Linked DNA regions of Oryctolagus cuniculus. The protein of the gene in region 1 binds, or shares a complex with, the protein of each later gene. Links are inferred from orthologs where the notes say so. Each region holds a gene or a part of one and is shown on either strand. Other genes may lie near its edges.

Region 1 (3,560 bases):
CTTCATGTAATAGTCACCTGAAACGTAACACATGAAATACACATGAAATAGTATCAGTCTCAACTGTTAAATGGTACAGGCCCGATACTTATGTTATTGAGATTCTTTATTTTTATTTTTCATTGGCCCTAAATGCTTATAAAAATGAAGGCTCTGGGCTTTCCACTTCTTGGCATTCAGAAAATATATCAAGAAATTCCTGTATCCCAACACCTAAATACGGCACAGGTGCTGTTGTGTAAGGGGACGCAGGGTGGATGCTTGCATAAAAGTATTCACCATTTTTTCTGTATTTTTCTATAATAGTCACATCACAGTTCAATTTCACAGGACCCAGCTGCATCTGGAAGAATGTTGAAAAGCAAAACACCAAGTGTCTGCTTGGAGCTTGGAAGAGTTAAAAGAAAATGGCATAGCAGGTAGGGCTGCTGCTTGCCAGGCCGGCATCCCATGTGGGTGCCAGTTCGGGTCCCAGCTGCTCCACTTCCGATCCAGCTCTCCGCTATGGCCTGGGAAAGCAGCAGAAGATGGCCAAGTCCTTGGGCCCCTGCACCTGTGTGGGAGACCTGAAAGAAACTCCTGGCTCCTGGCTTCGGATCTGCTCAGTTCTGGCCGTTGCGGCCATTTGGGGAGTGAGCCAGTGGATGGAAGACCTCTCTTTCTGTCTCTCTCTCTGCCTCTCCCTCTTTATAGCTCTGACTTTCAAGTAAATAAATTAAAAAAAAAAAAAAAAAAGACAATGGCTTGGACAGCCACCGCCTGGGTATGGACTTGGCCTTGAGGGTCAGGGAAGTCTCCGCTACTTCCTCAGTGGTGGCAGCTGGCTCACAGCTGTAGGCTCCATCCCTATGCTTAGTGTTCTAAAATCATGGCCAACTGGGTCTCTGCTCAGCTCTAGAGCTGCCTGCCACTACCCACCACCCCGCGTGTCTCAGGCTCTCGCGCCCTCCTCATGGTCCACGGCGCAGGTGCTAACCTTCGCCCATCAGCCCCACATTCAGCCATCAGTCCCTCGGATGGCGTCTCTCCCCGCTGCTGGTTTCCAGCCTGAATCCACCGTGTCTCCCCTAGACCAGCAGAGGGGCTCTTTGTGCACCCTCCAGAGCCGAACGGTGGCTTCTCCAGGCATTGGTAGTTTACGAAACAGCTACGCACACACCACCAGCACGCCCACCAAGGTGACAGCCTGGGGCGCCTGGTGGCCCCTGCCACCTCCCCACACAGGCACTCAGCACTCTTGCCCTGGGAGCAGCCCTCCCTTCCTCCCCCTGCCCAGCCCAGAGGGCACTGCCCTCCGCACCCCTTCTTCCCTTTCTCCCAACAACCATGATGTTTAATTACAGAGTTGCGGTTTAACTTAGTTTTTGTTTGCTTCCTCCTTAGAGTCTGTTAATTCCACAAAGCAAGGACTGTGTGGGATCTGCCTATATGCTATGAGGTTCCTTGCACTGCTCATGCTCACGCTAATGTGACAATGCCAGTGCAAGCAACACTGGCGGGGTGGCCCCCGCTCCACGGGCTCTGCATGCACCCCCGTCGTTAACCCGCACAGCACCCTCGGGGGCAGGCCTTACTGCTTGCCCATTTTACAGATGAGGAAAGTAAGGCACGGAGGTCCTAAAATCCTCCCCAAGGGCCAGGTCCTGAAAGGTGGCTGAGCCAGCAGCGGCTTGCCTGTGGGTACAGCGAGGCGAACGCCCTCCGCACATACCTTTTCTCATTCCACCAAAGGGGTCCTTGTTGGGCTCATAGGGCATCCTGCCCATCATGTCTGGCATGCTCACGCCCTGCTGGTACGGCGCGTTCGGCGTCACGGAGTTCCGTTTGGGGAAGGACGAATCACCCACATCTGAGAACGGGTCGTGCACGCTGATTGTACTGCTTCTGAAGAGATGTGAGAATGGCGGTTAATGACACGGCACAGTGTCCACACAGTAAAACAGTCTCGAGATCTACAAACGAGAAACCATCCACACTACAGCATCGTCCATAGACTCTAGGGAGAAGGCATCTCCTCCTTCTAGGACGTTGGTGCCAGAAAATGAAAAGACTAACCAATCCTGATTTTGCGTGGCCCACGGGGTTGTGAGGACGTACCTTCCACCTTGCATCGGGGTCATCTGTCCGTGAGGGGTGGAGGCTGGGGTCGGGGGCTTCAGGTCACCTGGAACCTCCGCCATGGAATTGCTGCCGGTTGACTGGGGGGTCTGCGGGCCTTGCAAGGATCCTGAGTTAGCTGATGGTGGTTGCACCGAGGGAAAATGGGGAAAACACTGGAGGTTACCAAGTAAGCTCCTGTTTGCTAGCGATGGTACAGAGAACCTGAACTGAGACGCCACTCTACTGGAAAGAGTAACAGCACCCAGTGTGTGTGAAGTCAGTGTCCTCACACTGGTTCTGGTGAGAACCGCTCAGACCCCTGGCAGCAAACCATTCGGTAATGCGCTCCATCTGTGAGCCTCAAAACCATTTCAGCCTCAGGCTGGGTAACTGTTTTCCTGTGTATTCATCCCAAGACAATAATCTAACAGAAGGAAGGCTTTGGGCATAAGAATGTTGATTTCAGTGCTGTCTATAATGGAGATAATCTAAAAGTAAATATAGAAAATTGGGATAAAAAATGTCGGTGCTATTTTAGGAAAAAATTAGAAGACAGAGTTCTGGGTCTTGGATAATGAGAAATGTTTAAGCTGAAAAACAATGACGCAGATGGATCACAACGTGCCTCAGGTCATTCTGTCAGCGTCTCAGGATCCAGACGTGTCTACACTTGGTCATTCACAACAGTCGTCTCCTGAGCTACAACATCAGGTTGTTGGAAAAGCCTAAGACATCCCAGGGTACATGGAGAAGCTTGTGGTAAACCAGCATTAAAAATAGGCTTGTTTTGGTACAAAGAATTTTTGAAATCCACACATAGCTTTCTCAAACTATGCATTTCCCACTTTCAAAGACCTATATACTGATTAAAGTCCTCCAATGTCGCCGGAGTTCAGAGATTTGGTTTTCACTACAATTACATCATAATAGAAGAGCTCAGAATTGAGAACGCTTTCTTAGCAAGTAGAAGTCCGGAAAAAATTAATTAACCGCACCTTGTAGGAAAAAGCACTTTACGAGCGCCTGTTTTATGATCTAGCCTAGCTGTTAGCGCGTTAGCTGTTCAGCAGATACCGGCTTCGTTTATTCATTAAACAAACGGCAGGTGCAGGGCTGCCCGTCTGCCACACCGGGTCACACGTTAGTCCTGGTGCTTCCTTGCCTGGGAGTCCCCAAGACTCGCCACAGCTCCCCTGGCTCCCCTCGTACTGTGGGGCAAACGCAGCACAGTCCGTCACCAGAGGTTTCGGAGCAACCCGCGAGGGAGTCGGGAACCAAAGCGAGGACAACACTTCCACCGGGGAAGCCTTGGTCAAACCGATCATCTCTGGCCACGTTAGGGCTGCCTGGTCCCTGGCAGGGCCTGATGGTGCATGGGGCCCTGGGTCGTGCACAGTGACCCAGAGAAACTCGCAGAGATGCAGAACTTAGATCTCTTTAAGGAAAAACTGATTCACTCA
Region 2 (4,073 bases), on another chromosome or scaffold:
CGCCCAGGCCGTCCCCCGTGTCTTCCTCCCATCCTTTAATGCTTTCATATTGGAAAAGCAATTCCACAGCCGCCCCTCAAGCCCCTCTCCCTTCAGGCGCTCCCCCATTAGGCTCCTGAATTGCACTCTCTCCTATTCGCAGGGGAAGCCCCGGTATCAGCTGTCCCCAGCTCTGCAGGGACGCCCCCATAGGCCCCTGTTCCTGCTGGCTCGTCCCAGAGGGGCGCTAAGGGCGGCTAAGAATAAGGCCCACCCCGTGCCCAAGTGAGTACCATTCGGGGGGTGTCCATTTGTTCATTCTCCCACCAGGGGCCTACGACAGTACCCAAGGGTGTTCACAGCCCAGGAAGGGGCCACTCACTCCAGACGGTGAGCAAAGAGCCCCAACGACTTGGGGGGTAAGGGCCCTGGCTGGAGCAGGCCAGAGGGCTGCCGCGGTGCCCATGTCACGGGCATCGAGCTGGGCTCCAGACCCTCAGCGGTGACCGGCACTGCAAAGCTGACACACCTTCCTAAGGGCCAGATGGAAAGGCCTGGGGGTACAAGGGAAGGATTGTTGGGGGGGGGGGGGGGGGCACTGCAAGAGGGCCTCCCGAGGGCACGGCTGAGCTGCATCCCAAACGGCACAGGAGTCTACGCAGCCGGCGAAGGCGGATCTGGGGCAGAGCCCAGCAGCAGGCACCCTCGGCGCTGCAAGGCCACACCAGGGCCCTCGCTCGGAAACCTGTGGCCAGCCAAAGCCCGTGCTGCTTCCCTCCAGGCCGAGTCCTCCGCGCCCGCGTCGTCCGCTCTGAGAAGCACGGGGAACACTCGTCCTGCCGCCCAGCGACGCGAGGGGAAGCGGGAGACCCGGCGCCGGGGGTCCCGCGGGGGCGGCCGCGGCCGGAGCCCGAGGCGCGCGCGGCCTCCCCCTGCAGCGGCTCCTGCGTCTCCCGGCCTCACGCGCGGAAGCCGAGGCCGCGGGCCTCGCCACCACGCCCTCGGGCAGGGCTCGGCACCTCCCGCCGCCGCCGCCGCTCGGACCCCTCACCGCCGCGGGAACCGGGCCTATCGCGATCGGGCCACCTCCGCCTTCCTCGCCGTGACGAATCGGCGCCCGACTGGGAAAGCATCCAAATCCAAGGAGCTTTGTGGAACGTACGGGGCCTGGAAAAAAATCCTTGGCTGTACTAAGCGTCGCCGCGTCCTCGGGAGCGGGTTTATTTTTTTTCCGAAGACAGTCGGTGGGGCCTGAGAAGAAATTGAGAAAAAGTGTGGAAAGTGCGAGCGCGGAAGCTCCGGACGTGAGGGGCGGGGCGTGCGCGGGACAAAGGGAAGCGAAGCCGGAGCTGCGGGCGCTTTTTCTGCCCGCGGGTGAGTGTTTCCTAGTGGGTCCGACCTGGTCTGGAGGGTGGCAGGTCGCGGTGCCTCCGTTCGGCGGGACCCCGGGTCCCCGGGGGTTGCTGGGGGTCAGGCTTGGCTGCGGGGCCGGAGCCGAGAGCCGGTGAGGCCTCCTTGAGGCCTAGCGGAGCGCGCGTGGGGAGGGAGTCCTCACGGGGGGCCCTCCTCAGGGGCAGGATGGCCCCTTCCGGCCACCCCGAACCCGGTCAGGGCGCCCACGCATACCCCGGTTTGGGGGAATTACTGGTAAAGTGCATCCCCCGCGGCAGGCGTGGAGGAAGCGACCTCCGAGGCAGCCCTGAGGGGCGAGGCGAGCCCAGGGCCCTCAGCCCCGGAAGGGACCCCCGGCCCGGGGCCCTGGCCCCGAGGACCCGCGGGGCCGGCTTGGCGTGAGCGGACTTGGCCTGGGTGCGGACCCCAGCTCCTGCCGCTTCCTAGCGGCGTGGTTTCGAAGAGTTACTTTGAAGTCTGCAAGACTCCCCTTTCTGATCTGTAAAATGGGACAGCAGGGTTGCTCTCCTAAGCCTGTCCTGCCTTATTCCACAAATGCTTGCCGAGCGTCTGTGTAGGGCCAGGCCGCAGGGAGGGCGTCAGGGGGTGCACAGGGGCCCTGGCCCGCTCTGAGAGCCTGCGTTCCGCCGGGGGCGAGCAGTGTCTGTGAGTGTATCTTAGCGTGAAGCGCCCAGTGCAGGGAGCTGCTGGCTGTCCCGTCAGGGCTCCACACCGCAAGGCCTCCTGGATGCTGACAGCTCGCCGGCTGAGCAGCAAGGAAATTTGCAACAAAGTCAGAGGTTCCCGCCGGGCTTTAAAGGCAGAGGGGGAAAGCACCCTGGGCTCCGACCTGCACCCTGGTGCTGCAGGTAGCTCCTGCTTATCTCCCGTGAGGCTGGATGAAGGCGCTCCAGGATAGGAGTTTGTCTTCTTTCCAAAACACGGATTTTTTTTTTAAACCCCTCGGGACTGTTGATGTGAAGGACAAGCTCTGGCCCTACTGTGAGCAGGGAACCCTAGGACAACGTCTATCAGGAATCGCACTAGAGACTGGGATACGGTGACGAGAGCAGCACCCAGTCCAGCCATATTGGCAGATGTTTTGAAAAGCTACAGTAAGCAGTATCCTAGCTCTGCATGGGAGTGCAGATGAGGGAACAGTGAATTCAATGTATTTCCAGCGAGTCCGAAGCTATCTGCCGCTTTAAAAGAATGTGAAACGCATTTAGTATACCTGTTACCTTTTCCGCTGCCTTCGGGAATACAGAGCTGCCCTGTTCGAACAGAGGTTGCTAGACCAGAAGCCAGGTGGAACTGACCGGGCGCTGGCAGCATCCAGCAGGCCTTGTTGGTGTGGACAGGTGGCACAGCACAGTGTGTGACCACTGCCTTCCCAATTACCAAGTGTTCACCGTGCGAGAGGTGGGGCAGCTTAGGACAGAACCTGAGAGTATATTTCTGATACTTAAATATCCCAGGAACTTACTCGAGTCATTTAATTCTGATGACCCAGATGACCTACAAGGACTAGTAAAATACGCGCAAGGCTTGAGTACTGAGAGATAATGTAGTTTTACTCAAAAGTACCAATCAAACTGCCCTCTTTAGGGAAACATTCTCATGCTTGCTGAGTTTTGATTCTCTTTTTTTTTCCTTTTTTTCCTTTTTTTTATTTTAGTGTCTCAGATTCATTCTTAAGGAACTGAGAACTTAATCTTCCAAAATGTCAAGTAAGTTTCAATTTTTATATTTATCAATCTATGTTAATAAGAGACTAATGCCCTAGCAAGTGGGAATTCCAAAATACTCTCATTTTTTTCTTCAAAACAGGACCATTGGTAGTTTTGTTGCATAGTATTATATCTCAGTTGTTTACAAGAAGTTATTTATTTTCTTTCAAACAGAAAGACCATCTTATGCCCCACCTCCCACCCCAGCTCCTGCAACAGTAAGTTTTAATTTTCTTGTTAATGTAATAGCCGAGTCTGGCCTTGATACAAAAACCCAGATGTCTTCCAGTGACAGTCACTCAATCATCACAGTAACAGGATGAAAATTCAGCTAAAAAACAGACTTCCTTCTAAATAAAATAACTCTTTGCCTCTGATCTTGAACCAGCCCCAACATTTAAAGAAACATACTATGAAATTCCTACCTCCTATGCTGAATTTACTTGTTTTATTTTTTTTTTTTCTTAATGGGAAATAGTTAACAAGTTTAACACTTCTTTCTCAGAGTCTTTAAGTTGATATTGAGTGAGTGCTCATTCTGGCTTTTTTTTTTTTAAACCTAACCTTCAGCTGGTTACATTTTTCTCTCCTTTCTTGTCTCTATATATAAAATTTCCATATTAAATCAAACAAAGCTCCTACTTCTATAACTACACTCATTGTAAATCTTTATTTTCAAGCTGTTCAAGTGAGGATTTCATTATCTGTGGGTCAGATTTTGCTATGAAATTTGACTCCACGCTGTAATTAGATTTGATTGGCTTGGGAATTGAGAATGTTTCAAAGTATCTGCCTGATAGCGGTGAACCGGCTTCTTCACCCAGCAAGCTCTGACCCAGCTTGGTCAGCATGTAAAATAGTTGCCCAACCCATGAAACAGATTCCACAGCAACTGTTAGGCCTCCCTGAAATGGCTTCCTTGTGGAGTTTTTTAGGGGGGAGGGGGTTGTCTGTGTTTTAAAAAACACTGTT

The links. Proteins that work in one complex are often made in the same cells at the same time.
Region 2: ARID1B (region 1) and SMARCE1 share a complex: the UniProt entries of both Homo sapiens proteins name them as parts of the neuron-specific chromatin remodeling complex. The link is inferred for Oryctolagus cuniculus from reciprocal best matches to the Homo sapiens genes ARID1B and SMARCE1.

What each region holds. Positions count from the first base shown.
Region 1 is NC_091436.1:10,408,851-10,412,410, forward strand, and holds part of ARID1B (AT-rich interactive domain-containing protein 1B), read right to left. Parts: intron 2,237-3,560; coding exon 2,098-2,236; intron 1,885-2,097; coding exon 1,712-1,884; intron 1-1,711. UniProt on the Homo sapiens protein: Involved in transcriptional activation and repression of select genes by chromatin remodeling (alteration of DNA-nucleosome topology).
Region 2 is NC_091448.1:21,886,078-21,890,150, forward strand, and holds the start of SMARCE1 (SWI/SNF-related matrix-associated actin-dependent regulator of chromatin subfamily E member 1), read left to right. Parts: upstream 1-1,214; 5' UTR 1,215-1,353; intron 1,354-3,049; 5' UTR 3,050-3,094; coding exon 3,095-3,101; intron 3,102-3,275; coding exon 3,276-3,319; intron 3,320-4,073. UniProt on the Homo sapiens protein: Involved in transcriptional activation and repression of select genes by chromatin remodeling (alteration of DNA-nucleosome topology).